2 linked regions of the Pelodiscus sinensis genome follow. The protein of the gene in region 1 purifies or fractionates together with the protein of each later gene. This does not show direct contact. Links are inferred from orthologs where the notes say so. Each region holds a gene or a part of one and is shown on either strand. Other genes may lie near its edges.

What was found. Proteins that work in one complex are often made in the same cells at the same time.
Region 2: the proteins of MLF1 (region 1) and DNAJB6 purify together in Homo sapiens (affinity purification with mass spectrometry; 3 studies listed by BioGRID and IntAct, counting the BioPlex papers as one, with this or other methods). This does not show direct contact. The link is inferred for Pelodiscus sinensis from reciprocal best matches to the Homo sapiens genes MLF1 and DNAJB6.

What each region holds. Positions count from the first base shown.
Region 1 is NC_134720.1:31,525,054-31,532,245, reverse strand, and holds the start of MLF1 (myeloid leukemia factor 1), read right to left. Parts: upstream 3,028-7,192; 5' UTR 2,909-3,027; coding exon 2,856-2,908; intron 1-2,855. UniProt on the Homo sapiens protein: Involved in lineage commitment of primary hemopoietic progenitors by restricting erythroid formation and enhancing myeloid formation.
Region 2 is NC_134712.1:239,889,070-239,896,413, forward strand, and holds the start of DNAJB6 (dnaJ homolog subfamily B member 6), read right to left. Parts: upstream 3,104-7,344; 5' UTR 2,971-3,103; intron 1-2,970. UniProt on the Homo sapiens protein: Has a stimulatory effect on the ATPase activity of HSP70 in a dose-dependent and time-dependent manner and hence acts as a co-chaperone of HSP70. Plays an indispensable role in the organization of KRT8/KRT18 filaments.

The sequences.
Region 1 (7,192 bases):
CCATGTAGTAGGCAATCACTGAAGCAGAGAACGGAGACAGCTGATATGATGAATGTTCAAATATAGCCTTTCCTGTCTTGTATAACTGGGGGAGGGGGCGGGGGGAGTGTTACATAAAAAAAATCCAAGGAAAAGAGTAATCTCCACAAGCACCGGGGTGGTATGAATTTGCTACTGGAAGCCTCCACAGATAGCAGTAAATATTATTTTACACAGCACCATCAATGGATGTTTGCGTTAGGCTAAATTATACTGGTATTTTACAAAACTGTAATTTTCTGTAATTAATTGTCTGGACCACTTCTACCCCAAAGAGAGCAAGTTACAGCACTGTAAAGCCCCAGGGTAAACCAGACTGTTAGCTACTCCCCTCGTGGAGATGGTTTACACAGAGCACTGGGAGAAAGCTGCTGCAGCTGTGCTCTAAACTTTTAAGTGTACACAAAGCCATAATCATTGTACAAAGACATGGTACCTATTCTACAGAGATTACAGTTTATAATCTAGCAGAGACATGAAAGAGTGGGGCAGAGAAGGAGGAAAAGAAAAATTGCATGGAGTGAAATGATTTGGATTGTTTTGGTGTGTCTCATAGTTCCAAATCTCTCTCTCCCCCCCTCTCCTTCTTCCTCTGTTTAGTTGAGTCCAAAGACTGCGAAGAGTTACAAAGGGATCTCACAAAACTGGGTGAGTAGGCAAGAAAGAGGCAGATGAAATTCAATCGTGACAAACTCAACACAATGCACAATGGAAGAAATAATCCCAAAATAATGTACAGACAAAATGTAGAGTCATGGTGAATAGTTCTCTGAAAACAGCTGTTCAATGTGCAGAATCAGTACAAAAAAACCGAACAAAGTTAGAAACCAATAGGAAAGGGAATAAAACAAAATATAAACACACTAAATAAAATGCATGGTATGCCCCCACCTTGAATACTGCAAAGATATATTAGAAGTGAAAAGAGTATAAAGAAAGGCAACAAAATTTACTAGGAGTATGGATCAGTTTCCATATGAGAAGAAATTAAAGACACTGGCTGCTTAGATCAGAAGAGTGACAATTAAAAAGAACAATGATAGAAGTCTATAAAATCATTAATGGTAGGGAGAAAGTGAATAAAGGAGAGTTATTTACTTCTTCACATAACACACAAGGCAAGGTTCACCCAATAAAATTAATAAGGATCAGGTTTAAAACAAACAGAAGTACTTCTTCACACAATGCACAGTCAACTTGTGGAACTAGTTATCAGAGGATGCTGTGATGGCCAAAAATACAAGTGGTTTCAAAAAACAATCAGATAACTTAATGAAGGATAGCCAACACAGTCAAGGATGCAATCCACTGCTGACTGTCCCTAAAGTAACTGCTAGAACAGGGTTGGGCTCACCTGATAAAACTGCCCAACTGAGTTAAGTGATAGAAATGTAGCCGTGTTAGTCTGGGGTAGTTGAAGCAAAATGCAGGACAATGTAGCACTTTAAAGACTAACAAGACGGTTTATTAGATGATGAGCTTTCGTGGGCCAGACCCACTTTTGATCTGAGGAAGTGGGTCTGGCCCACGAAAGCTCATCATCTAATAAACCATCTTGTTAGTCTTTAAAGTGCTACATTGTCCTGCATTTTGCTTCAACTGAGTTAACACTTTCTGTAGCATCTGGCACCAGTCACTGTCAGAAACCAGGATACTGGGCTAGATAGACCACTGGTCTAACCCAGTATGGCTATTCTTCTGTTCTTACTGATGCACAAGCATCTCAGATTGTGACCCTAACTAAAAATTTTCTGTAGTTAGAGTAAATAATATATAGAAACATAGCAAATTTTTCATAATACCTGGGCTCTGGTGCATTGTCTATTAGGGCTTTGCAAATATTTAAGTTTCACAATCAAACTCTACAAGTTGTAGTGTGTTATCTTTGCACTTCTGTTGAAATATCAGGCAACATTTTCTGTAGTTAAGAAGCCATAAAGGTATTTAAATTAATATTAGGATATTTTATCTAATAAGACTGCAATATACAAATGAATTGTGCAATACTGAGAGAGTAGGAGGATTGGCTGAGTTACCTCAGATATGGCATTTCACTAACTAGGATGTAATAATACCTATCACATAACACTGAATTGTTCATAGGTAGCTTTGATTGGGACAAGTGGAGAAGCAGAGACAAAAAAAAGGCACTAGTGTGATGGTTCTGTAAATCAATTCATGCATTCCTTACTTGTCATCTCTTAGAAATTAAAGAGACGCCGTAACCCAATGTTTGTTGGAACATAGTGTAAACCAAGAAAACTTGATATAGAAACACACACGCAACGGAAGAGACTTTAAACACGGCCACGAGATGCCACACTTTGCCATGCGGAGGGCAGCTACTGAATGCTTCATAGAGTTTGCAGAGTTGGGTCTGACCACCCCCACCGACAGCTCCCCAGAACACGAGGATAACCATACCAGCCCACTCCCACCACGGCTAGGCTAGAGGCGCTGTGGGCGGAGCTGCAGCCTAAGCCCCGGACTCAAAGGCTTCCCTGGGAGGGTCCCTGCGCAGGTGACAGGCTCCCGGGACAGGCGAGGACGCTCACAGCTAAGCACCTTTATCGGCTTTCTGCTTTCACCAGCTTCGCTCAGGCGGCTGATTCGGGCTCCTCACCCGCAGGTCACCTCGGCGCGCCACGGGCTAGCCAGTCAAGGCAGACAGCCGCACGCACCAGCCTGCCGGGTGCAGCCCCCCCAAGCCTCCGGCGGTGCAGCAGCGAGCCCCTTCTCCCCGCCCCGGGGACAGCCCGGCCGACTCCGAGCGCCCCGCCCGCCGCCCAGGCACGCAGCACTCGCTGCCCACTCACCGGAAGAAGGGGTCTTCCTCGAAGAGCTCCCTCAGGCCCCTGTTCCCGAACATGGCAGCGCCGCTACCTCTCAGTCGACTCGCTGTGGCAGCGCCCGAGAGCCCGCCGGCTCCCAACGGCGGCTCTTTTCCTCCGCCCACCAAGCTCCCGCGATGCGCCGCTCACTCCCCATTGGCTGTCCCCGGCCTCGGCTGCCTCCCCATAGGGCGGGGACCGGCGGGGGCAGGGCGGCGTGGCGAGGCTGCTACCATGGCGACCGCTTTCAACACAAGGCCTGACTCGGGCGGCTGGCCAGGTCTAGAAGCTTCTGGCTCTGCGCGAGGCTCAAGGACAGTGGGGCACGGGATGGGGGCGGACAGCGCTACGCCAGCGGGAGGGGAGCTCAGGGCACCACATTAGGGGGCGGCATACGGGTTACGCCTGGTTGCACCCGGGAGGCGCATGGCCCCCTGTGCCTCTGTTAAAATTGCAATTGCCAAATGGGATGACTCCTCATGGCCCCTCCCTGTTCCTCTCGGTCGCTACCCCTCCCTCACAGGCAGCAGTCGCCTATTGCCCATACGGGGTGGGGCTCTTCAGAGGGTGGGGCGACAGCACCTTGACAACTGCAGGGGAGCTCCTATGGACAGGAGGGCGGGGAGCAGGGCACTATGACATGGGGAGGGAGCCCAGGACAAGGTACGTGGAAGCGGGTGGGGGACGACGACTGAGGGACACAGGGCAGCACCTTGTATCGTGGGTCACAGCACCAAAATAATAGGGGCACCAAAGCATAGGGGTGGAAAGGCGTGACAGATAGTTACCTCAAAGAGAGGCCCCGGAAAGAACAGGGGCACTAAACCGTATGGCACTTTAGGGCCTCTTTCTGGGAGGAAGCACAGGACCATAGAGTTCCCTACATAGGAGCTACAGGGCTACAGCACCCAAAATGGAGCATTACCCCCACAGTTCTGGTCTACTGGGACCTTAGCATCATGGGTCACAAGGAGGACACCAAAGAAAAGTCCAGGTTTAAGGGGCCAAAGCAAAGAGTGCACTGTAAGACTGGGACAACGAAAAATAGAAGCGATTTGGAAAAATATTCTGTAGCTAGGAAATGATTGTCAATTTGGAAACAAGGAACAGAATTTGTGTAGGAAGCAGAGATGGGAAGAATTTCCCTTATTTCCATGTTCAAATTATTAATGATTTGTTTTATTCTAGCACTAGGAACTTTAGTCATAGACCAGTATCTCTGAGTGTTAGGCCATTTGCAAAGCAGACTAAAAAGACAGTCCCGGGCCCCCAGGAGTCACGGTCTCCATCAGTGATACTCAGACTGGACACTTGAGAGTGGCTCTTAAAGTGTCCTCTGTCACTCTTTGCAGCTAAGAGTAATGCATGGGGGGCAGGAAGTGTCACATGCCCTCCCCCCATGCTGTGGGAGCCAGGCAAGGGGCTCTTTTGGCTACGCTGCTCAGATGCTGCACTCTGACAGGAAGAGGAGATGCTGCTCAACATAGTGCGGCATCAGAGGGACAGAGCCCCCCTCACTCACCAGGTAATGGGAGGGAGCGTGGAGGGAGCCAGGCAGCAGGTACTCTCTCCTGAGTCCCAGGTGGCTTCCAGCCACACTGCCTGGGATGCTACCCAGTGCACTGCAGCACAGGGAGGGGAGGCATCAGAGCAACTGCACTCTTCCAGGCAGCCTCCGGCCATGTTGTCTGGGACCCTGCTTGCTGGGCAATGCAGTGTAGCAGGATAGACACTCTCCCTGCCTCAGGTAACATGGGATGGGGTACGAATGGGATTATGTGGGTCCTGGACGAGTTGTGTGTGGAAGAGTCACATTGTGTGGAGCTGGTGTCCCCTTTTGTGTTCCTTCTCTCTACTCACCTGTGTTGCAGCACATGATATAAAAACGCTATGTAATTTAAATTAACAACCAGTTTAAGTTAACCAATCAGGATGCTATGTTATTAACCAATTGTAATTGATAAAATAATACATGGTCAGTCTTCTTACGGTGACAGTAATGTACATATATTCATGTACATATGTTAATGTATATAAAACAATGAATTCATACTAGTGAGTAATGTTAATCATTAATTTGGCTCCTGAATCTCTGAGTATCACTGGTCTACATATAAAATGAGATTATGGATGAATATAGACATGGGTGGGGGGAGTAACAGGAACAGTGAGACAATACTGGCCAGCATGATAGGCTGGTCACCTGCACATTAGTAGTCAAATCATTTTCAAGTTTTATGTGGGCATCACAACAAAATTTGAAGGTGGATAATGAGGTGGCTTGGTGGAAGTTTACCGGGAGCATCTCCCAAGCAGGTAGGGAGAAAGGATGATGGTATCCGAAAATGTAGCCGAAGAACAACATAAGTTCACGCCATTGGCCAACCAGAGGCATTGTGTCAGTACTGTGAATTCTATAGGCTGTTATAAGGCTTTTTGGGGTCTCTGGGATTCTGAGGTTTCGATCTATTACTTTGTGATGTACTTTTCATAATGAAAATAGTGTCTTGGATTCTAAATGTTCCCTACATACTAGTGCACACATATCTTAAGAGAAAAGTCACTATAAACAGAGTCTAGTGATACCAATGAGTACTTGTGAACAGAAAAACTTAAAACAACGATTAGTAGCACCTTAAAGACTAACAAAACATGTAGGCTATGTCTACACTGCAGGCTGCTTGCACAAGAGTGCATCCATACTACCATATGCTTTTGCGCAAGAGCTGTGCTTTTGCTCAAGAGCGTCCATGGTGGGGTGGATGCTTTCTTGCTCAAAAAAGCTCTGATGGCCATTTTAGCCATAGGGGTTTCGTGCGCAAGAAACCCCTGTTGCCGGTCCACACTGCCTTCTTGCGCAAGAGCTCTTGCACAAAAGGGCTTATTCCTCGTGGGGAGAGGAATAACACTTGCACAGGAATCCCTCTTTTCTGATGCTTTACTGGAAATGTACTTGCACAAGAACATGCTTGCAGTGTACACGCTCTGCAAGTTTTTGCGCAAAAAGCCTGAAGTGTAGCCGTAGATGGTATCATGAGCTTTCGTGGGCACAACCCACTTCTTCAGATGACTGGAGTATTAAAAGTCCATTAATGGAGTTCCAAGTCACTGTGTTGTTTCAGGCCAATTCCACAAGCCAAATACACAGGGAATGGTTAGAACTTAACTTCATTTACAAGTTTGATTCTTGTCAGAATGGAATGAACTGGCTGGCTTGCACACTACCTTCTACATCCTAACGACTTAATCAGCCAAACAACAGAGGTGCTAATTGTTCTTATCAGCCTCTTGTAACTTGAATAATCTATTCATTGTCTTTCTCCCTCCCTCTTTCCCTTATTTATTCTTGGATCTGGACTTTTAATACTCCAGTCATCTGAAGAGGGTTGTTCCCACGAAAGCTTATGAAACCATCTACATGTTTTGTTAGTCTTTAAGTTGTTACAAGACTATTAATTGTTTTTAAGTTTTTCTAGTTACAGACTAACTCTGCTACCACTCTGAAGCTACTTCTAAACAGTAAAGCTGAAGTTGTGTCACAGTAATTTTTAGTAAAATTCATGGACAGGCTACAGACAATAAGCAAAAATTCACAGAAGCTTGTGATCAGTCTCTAACTTTTATTAAAAGTAACTAACAAAATGGGGAGGAGGGGTCCAGCACCCACTGCTGCTGTGTCTCTGGTATGCCTCTGATACCTCTGGGGGTTGAGTGCATTGAACTTCCCTCGCCACAGCAGCTGGGAACTCCAGGGTTGGCGGGTGGGAGCTCTGAGGGGATCTCGCCACCTGCACTGGCTAAGAGCTATGGGAGCCTTGTTGGCTATCAACTCCAGCCTCACTGCTCTGGGGTTGAAAGGGAAAATGTCATGGAGCTTTTTGAATGTGATGAATTGAAACTACTGTTAAAAATGTTAGTTATTGTGATATTAACTTTTGTGGCATGAAGCAAACTTTGATCCAGCTTAACTGGTATTTGGGAATTAGGCTGCACAGTTAGTTCCAGTGTAGGAGCTATTGCTTAGGGAAAGTAGCATGACTGCAGTACTTCTACACACTAATAATCCCCAACTGCTGGAATGGTCCCTGTTGGATAATTTCAGTTCCTACAATTCAATATATTTCTTGGGACCTGACTGGTAACCTGAGGATCAGACTTACAGCCATCTTTATGGTCTTTCTATCTTAACTTCTCTGAACACCAAACATCCAGTCTCAAAGATAGGGCCCACAGTCCACTCCAATGTATGTTATGGAACACAACTTTGCAAGTGCTCCCTGCATTTTCGCATGCTTGAGTATTTAGGAGATGGGTCTACAGCA
Region 2 (7,344 bases), on another chromosome or scaffold:
TTATCCCCTTGGCCTCATTTAACCAACTGATTCCTGGCTTGCACCTAGTCCCTGCTACCTCCATGCCTCCCCTGCCCTCCCACGGAGACGGTGCTGGGGGGGGATAACCGGCTTTTAAGCCAGTTCCTCCCAGCACTGGCACCTGCTCTCCCTCCCCCCCCCTTGCTGCCTTTAATGGGGGGGCCGCAAATAGTCAAAGCACTAGATGACTATCCAATAAGCTTTTGCTTATCAGATAGTCAACTAGTCCCTTACATCCCAAATGCAAGTGGGAATTTCTCTATTTATGACACTAAAATGTTTTTAAATTAAGATTTTTTTCCAAAGTTTTAAAAAAAAAACCTGAGGTTTTTTCTAATGGGTCACTGTTTGATAAAATCTTCTGGAGAATCTTACGAAGGGGTCAGCAGGGAATGGCGCAGCAAGGGGTGAACCCTCCGCCGTTTTGCAGGGAGCCAGGAGAAAAATCAATCTTGCAGTCACTTAGGCTATCAGAGCAAGATCTTTTAATACAGATTTAACCTTTCTACTCCAGCACCCTCTGGACCCGACCAGTGCTGAACCAGACAATCTTCCAGACCACAGAAGGTCAATATTGTCTAGCAGCATTACCAGCACTTCTACTTACTGGGATGGTAGGTGACATTTAGGGATAAATTGGAGCTGAACAGCAGCACAGGATAGTGAGACAGGACTGGTGGCTATAAACAAACTTGATGGGACCATGGGAAACTTGGCCACACACATAAGTGGACATCCGACCAAAATCATACCAGACCAGAAAATACCAGATGAAAGGTTCAACTTGTAGAATGCTGTATAATACTATTTTATGAAATTTTGACTTTACTGCAACTTGTTAAGCAACAGGAAGTGAAAGATCCCTGTTGTTCTGATGTCTAGATTTCAAGATATTTGTGTTTTCACTGGATGTTGATGATTTTCTTGACACAAAACAGGGGACCATGACATCAGCTACAACAAAGCTGAATTCAGATACAAAAATTGAAAAGAGAATTGAAAACAAAATGATGTAAACATCTGATAAGAAGGACTCTGTGGTTATAGTCAGAGCTAACAGGGGCTCTCAAATATTATCTATACAACCAAAGTTTAAGTAAATTGTTAATTTTTTATTCTGCAGATTTCTGAAAGTCACAAGGATCCTAGCAATAAGATTAGTAAATCAGTGTACACTGAAATGTGAATCTTTAACTAGTGGGGGCGAGAGAAGCTCTCCTCTTGCTGTGGGAAGGCAACTGCACCAGCACCAAGGGGGAACCACTGCAAACAGGGCTGCTCCAACATCCCTGCCAGAACAGCTCTGTTGGTGGCAGCCCAACCACCCTCTTCAATCCGCTAACTAGTTAAACAATAGAATTAACCGGTTAATCAATTCAACATGATTTTACATCCCTATTGTATACAGACTTCAGCAGACAATTTAGTTGGCCCAGTAAGCTAACATAGGAACTTGGCAGTTATGTTACCTCCCAACCTGGAGACAAACACCTTTTGTAACTAGAGTTACATAACTTACACCCCCAAAATGGAGCAAAAATCCAACCCAATATGATTATTCACTCCTCAGCAATACACTTTGCTAAAGGACCATATAATCAGAACATAGAAATCTAACAGAGCCCAAAGCCATTCCAATCACTCATACAAGTCAAAAAATGTGTCCGACATGCCCCCCCCCGACATTCTATCCACAAGACAGACAACAGACCTACTATGCCAGATCACAAGCTTGACCATGTGCATTTAAAACCTTATTACACAAGTTTAGCTTCTATAACTTTCATCTTGGTCCAGTTAAAACAATGCTCTGCTACTAATACACTACTGTAGGTATCTACCATTTAGTGTTACTAGTTAAAACATATTGAGAAATGGCTTCAAGGATCCTAATACCTTGGGAACAAGTTCTTCTGGCCTCAAAGAGGAAACCAGCTTGCAGACAAGTCAACTTCAAACTACATTATCAGTGACCAAACTGAAACTAGTTTTAAGTGTTATAACCAGCAAGATGACCAGAGACTCCACTTCCCCACTCACTGTCATCTCAGAAGTCCTGCATGCAGCAGTGACATGAACTACCTACTTCCCCTTCACAGGGAATATTGTCTGTGTGAAACCTGGCAATTTCACATTCACAACATCCAAAAGCCCCTCACCTTTGCACACAACACACTGGGCTGGAAGAAACTCACAGCGCATGAAAGTTTTACTGTAAACAGCAGCTAATGCAGGACCCCGGAATTGGCATGTAGTGCAGTAGCTGCTTTCCTTGCTTGCTTTTGTAAAAACACACTACTACGGGCCATCATCACCCATCATAAGCTTGCAGCAAAGTCACAGTAAAGAGAAGGCTGCACAGTAGTTTTCACAACGTTAGAGCGCGCTGGGAGTTTTCTAAGCTCTCTCGCCCCTCCCGCATCTCCCCAGCAGCGTTTGATCGCTCGGAGCCATCTGACTTGGCCTCGTTGCGAGGGATCAAACACGAGCCATTTCCTTTGCTCAGAGCCGCGGCGCATCTCCAGGACGCCCAGCGGCCGGTCACGATAATCGAGCCGCCAGGGCCCTGCCTCGCTCGCCGCCGTCCCCAAAGCAGGAAGCCCAGCGCTGCACCCGTTCCCTTCCCACCGCCGCCGACTCAGCCCCGAACGCGGGCCAGAGCTAAGCGCCACCCCCGGCGTCCCGCAGCGCCCCCACAGCGGGCGAGGGCCCGGGCAGCAGCCTCCGCTCCCCCACCCCCGCCCGCCCTTCCGCGCTCCGTCAGCCCCAGCTCTGCGCCACCAGCGGGGGGGGGGGGGGAGCGAGGAGCTGCATTACCAACAACACGGTTGCTGGGGGCGAGAGCCGGCCTCACATTCCGCCCCCCCCAGACCCGACGGAACCCCGGCCCCCGCCAGCACGGTACCGCCGCCCCCTCAATGCCCGATCCCCGACGAGCCTCTGGCTCACCCTGCACGGCCGCTGCGCTCCCTTCTCCCCGAACAGCAGCAGCGATTACAAAAGCGTCGGCCGGCCACGCACAAACAGAAATTGCGTCGCACGCCGAAACGTCACTTCCGCTAACGCCCTCTATTTCCGGACGTTTCTGGAACGGTCTCTCCCTCTCCCCTGGCGGCGGAAGCGCGGGGGAGAGGGCGGCGCCGGGAGAGCGAGCGAACGAGCGGTGGCGCCATCTGCTGGCCGCAGGCAGCGCGCCTGGCGGCTGAGTTGTGGCGCGGGAGACTTGACCGGCGCGGGAGCCCAGGCGGGGCCGAGGCCGTGAGGGCCCGTCTCCGCGCGCGTCACAGGCCCCGCTCGGGTGAGCCGGTGCCCTGGTTTCACGGGCGGCCCAGCACTTGGGGCTTTGTCCGATAGCGGCGCTGTCGCTGTTCTGCCCCGCGCGCTCCCCCGTCGGGGAAGGCACTTGCTGCCGGGCGACTTCGAGCGCGTGACGCCTCGTTCCCTGCGGGCAGGGCCGCTCTGGCGATAAAAGCTTCCGTTGTCTCCCCGGCAGGTGGAACTAGCGGTGTTTGCACAGCGCCCCGGGCCGCCGCTGTCCTCCCAGCGGGGCATTGATGCGCCAGAGGCACTGAGCATAATTCATGGGGCAGGGTGGTTCCCCCAATCTGCCCCTTATTGCCTACAGAGGGGACCCCCCCCCCATTTGTCATGATGTAGTTGGGCCACTACTTCCGAGCATTTGGGGTCCGGGTCCATTGTGGGAGTTACAGGAGCATTGTCAGTTCCTCTTGCCTCTGTAAGGGGCAGCCCTCTGCCGTAACTCGCTTGTGAGCTTCCCATTTCATTTCTTTTTTTGGTTCCTCCAGCACGAATTTCCTCCATGCTTCTGCTCTCAATGTCCCTCTAACACCTTTAACCAAATGGATACCCATATCTGCATCTGATACCCATATTCATATCCATTTCTTCCTCTAACGTGTGCCAACAATGCCCCACTGCCATATACATTGGCCAAACCGGACAGTTCCTACATAAAAGCATCAATGGCCACAAATCAGATATTAGGAATGGCAACATACAAAAACCTCTAGGGGAACACTTCAATCTCCCTGAACACACAACTGCAGATCTAAAGGTAGCCATCCTACAGCAAAAAAACGTCAGGACCAGACTTCAAAGAGAAACTGCTGAGCTACAGTTCATCTTCAAGTTTGACACAATCAACTCTGGATTAAACAAAGACTGTGAATGGCTTGCTAACTACAAAAGCAGCTTTTCCTCTCTTGGAATTCACAGATCAGCTACTAGATCAGCTACTAGAAATGGGCCTCATCCTCCCTGATTGGATCCACCTTGTCATCTCCAGCCTGATTCTGGCCTGCATATTTATACCTGCCTCTGGAAATTTCCACTACATGCATCTGACGAAGTGGGTCTTTGCCCACAAAAGCTTATGCTCAACACTTCAGTTACTCTATAAGGTGCCACAGGACTCCTCGCCGCTTTTACAGCTTCAGACTAACACGGCTACTCCTCTGATACTTGACTCCATAAAGAGTCTCTGTATTATTTTAAAATGTTATTCTAGTGGATGCTGAAATCTTTTGAGTGGACTGTGCTGTGGGCTGAAATCACTGAAAAGCTGGCATCACAGAGAGCTGAAATCACTAGGTTTGGCCTAAAGCCCAAATCCATCCCAAGGCTGGCTAGCAAGGGAGGTGGCCAGGGGGAGCAGTGGCAGGTGGCCAGTGGAGTGGCTGGCGGGAACAGCACAGAGGTGGCATTGCCACATGCTTAATGAATGGAGATATCAGGATGATGTACCACTGTGCAGACTCTGGGTCTGCACTGACTGGACAGAGCCATGAGTGGGATATTTGAAGGGGTGGGGGGAACACACTATGAGTTGGGGGATGAACTAAAGACCTTTAAGCAGAAGACTGTTCCCTGCAGACTCTGGGGATGGGATCTTGATTACGGGTTTTCTTTTTTTATGTGTGTACCTGTAGGTTGATGCGAGATTACTGTTATTAAACAGACTGTTGCTATTTCTGACTCAGTGTTTGCAAGAGGGGAAGAAGTGCCTCTAAAGACGACCAGTGAATAGGTTGGAATTTTCCCAGTTTACCGGGTGGGGACTCAAGTCATTTTGGTTATCTTGTTGAAAGAACTTCTCTAGATACTGAACCCAGTCCTGGCTACCGACTGCTACCAGCAGAAGGGCTACATGAAAAACTACTGTTTCAATTCCAGGTATACCCTGTCTGAATCCACAGGTCCTAAAATCACTTTCATTTTTTTAATACAAATAATCTAACAATGACACTTTAAGAGCCAATATATTGAAATCGGGGCAGTTTTGAGTACCACAGGCACAAACCCAACAGCCATAGCCAGAATCTCCTTTTTAATAACATACAATTCTGGGAAGTCACCAGGGCTCTATTCTGTTACATAGCCGACAACTGCGGGAATTATTCCGACATCACTGCCTTCATTACTTCCTTCACCCAGTCCCAGCCAGTAGCAACAATGCTGTTCCATCTAACCTTCCTCTAGTACTGCGTATTACTGCCTAGTCAGAAGCACTAGCACAGGCCTGGGCTAAAACCTTGTAATATGTTGACCTTCTGACAGTTCGCGATATCACCTTCACCATCCAATCCAGACGTGTCTCTTTCTAGGGGTCTCCATAACTGACCAGATGCCCATACCTGATCTGGAAATCTCAGTAATGTTTTGCCTTATCTCCCTTTCTAGTTGTGGGTCATCTTGGTCAGGTTCTTTATTTGTTACCACCCTTCTGATAAGTGAAGCCATGGGATTGAACTGTTGCGCTTTTAATTTCAATGCCTGCAATTTCCTTTGCTGGTGGGGCTGTGCAGAGAGAGGGGCTTGCCTGTGCAGAAAGCAACCAAGGCCCAGCTGATTGCCCAGCTGGAAGAGAATGACCAGCCACAGGGCCAGGATCTTGTCCTCAGGGGAAGCAGCCAGACCCCCCCTGAGAGTGTGTCAGGCTCAGAGAGGGGGAGGAGCGCTGGAACCCACCGGAGAGATGAGACAGCATCTCCCAGGAGGCCTGCAAGCCGTAGCCCATCTAGGGCAGGGGCCAGCCCAGCGGAGCTGCAGCGGCTGGAGATCCAGCTGCGGATCAAGGAATTGGAAGTAGAGGACCGAGAGAGGGACCGCCAGGACCGAGAGAGGTAGCGACAGCATGAGCTGGCCATGGCAGAGCGGAGAACCGGCGGGGCACCGGCTGTGCCAAGTGCCGATGGGCCCCAGGGTCCCGGGACTGCCAGACGCTTGGAGAGGCTCGTGGTGGCCCAATTGAAGGACATGGGCGACAGACGGGTTCCTCAGCTCCTTTGAGAGGGCCTGTGGACTGCAACGGGTTTCCCCAGCTGACTGGCTGCAGGAGCTCATCCCCGCACTGAACCAGGAGGCAGCCGGAGTGCTCAGTCAGCTGGAGGACCTACAGCCAGGGGATTACAGCCGAGTCAAGGAGGCCCTGCTGCACAAGTTCGGGCTGACCCCCGAGATGTACAGGAAGAAGTTCCGGGGGGTACAGAAAGGGCCACGGGAGACCTATGTGGATCTGGCCTCCCGCCTGTCGCAATACGGCCGCAAGTGGGTGTCTGGAGTCGGAGCCCAGACCGCAGAGGAGCTGCTCAAGCTGGTCCTGATGGAGCAGTTCTATGAAGCGTGCCCACCCAAACTGAGGCTGTGGCTCAAGGACCAGATTCCAGAGAACCCCCAGGAGGCTGGGAGGCTGGCGGATGAGTTCACGGAGAGCCAGTCCGGGTGTGAACGGGAGTCCCGGAGAGAAAGGGAACCGCGCAGAGACCGGATCTCGGCTGAGCGACCGAGGGAGTCAACTACGGGGCGAGACCAAGGAACAGGTCGTCTGTGCCCCAGAGAGCCAGCCAGGGCCTGGACAGAGACAGCCCAAAGCCTAACTTGCCATCGCTGTGGGCAAAAAGGCCACAAGAGGGCTCAGTGCACCAGGTCCCAGGACCGGGGACTTTCCAGGGTTAACTGGCTGGGGCGGGAGGAAGGGCAGGCTGCCCCAGAGGCAGGGGCTGGCAGGCAAACCTCAGCTCAGAGAGAGGGGAAGGATGCTCAGTGCACCTCCCCTGGGAGGTCTGATTCTCAGGAGGCGGATTTCTCCGTGTACCGGGTGGGGGCAGGACGGCCCCTGCGGAGCGAGTGCCTCATACCCCTGGAGGTGGATGGTAGGAAGGTGACGGGCTTCTGGGACACGGGGGCGGAGGTGACTCTGGCCCGATCCGACATAGTGGCCCCAGAGCGGATACTACCCCACACCCCGCTGACCCTGAAGGGCATAGATGGGTCCCCGTTTAAGGTGCCTGTAGCCCGGGTGCA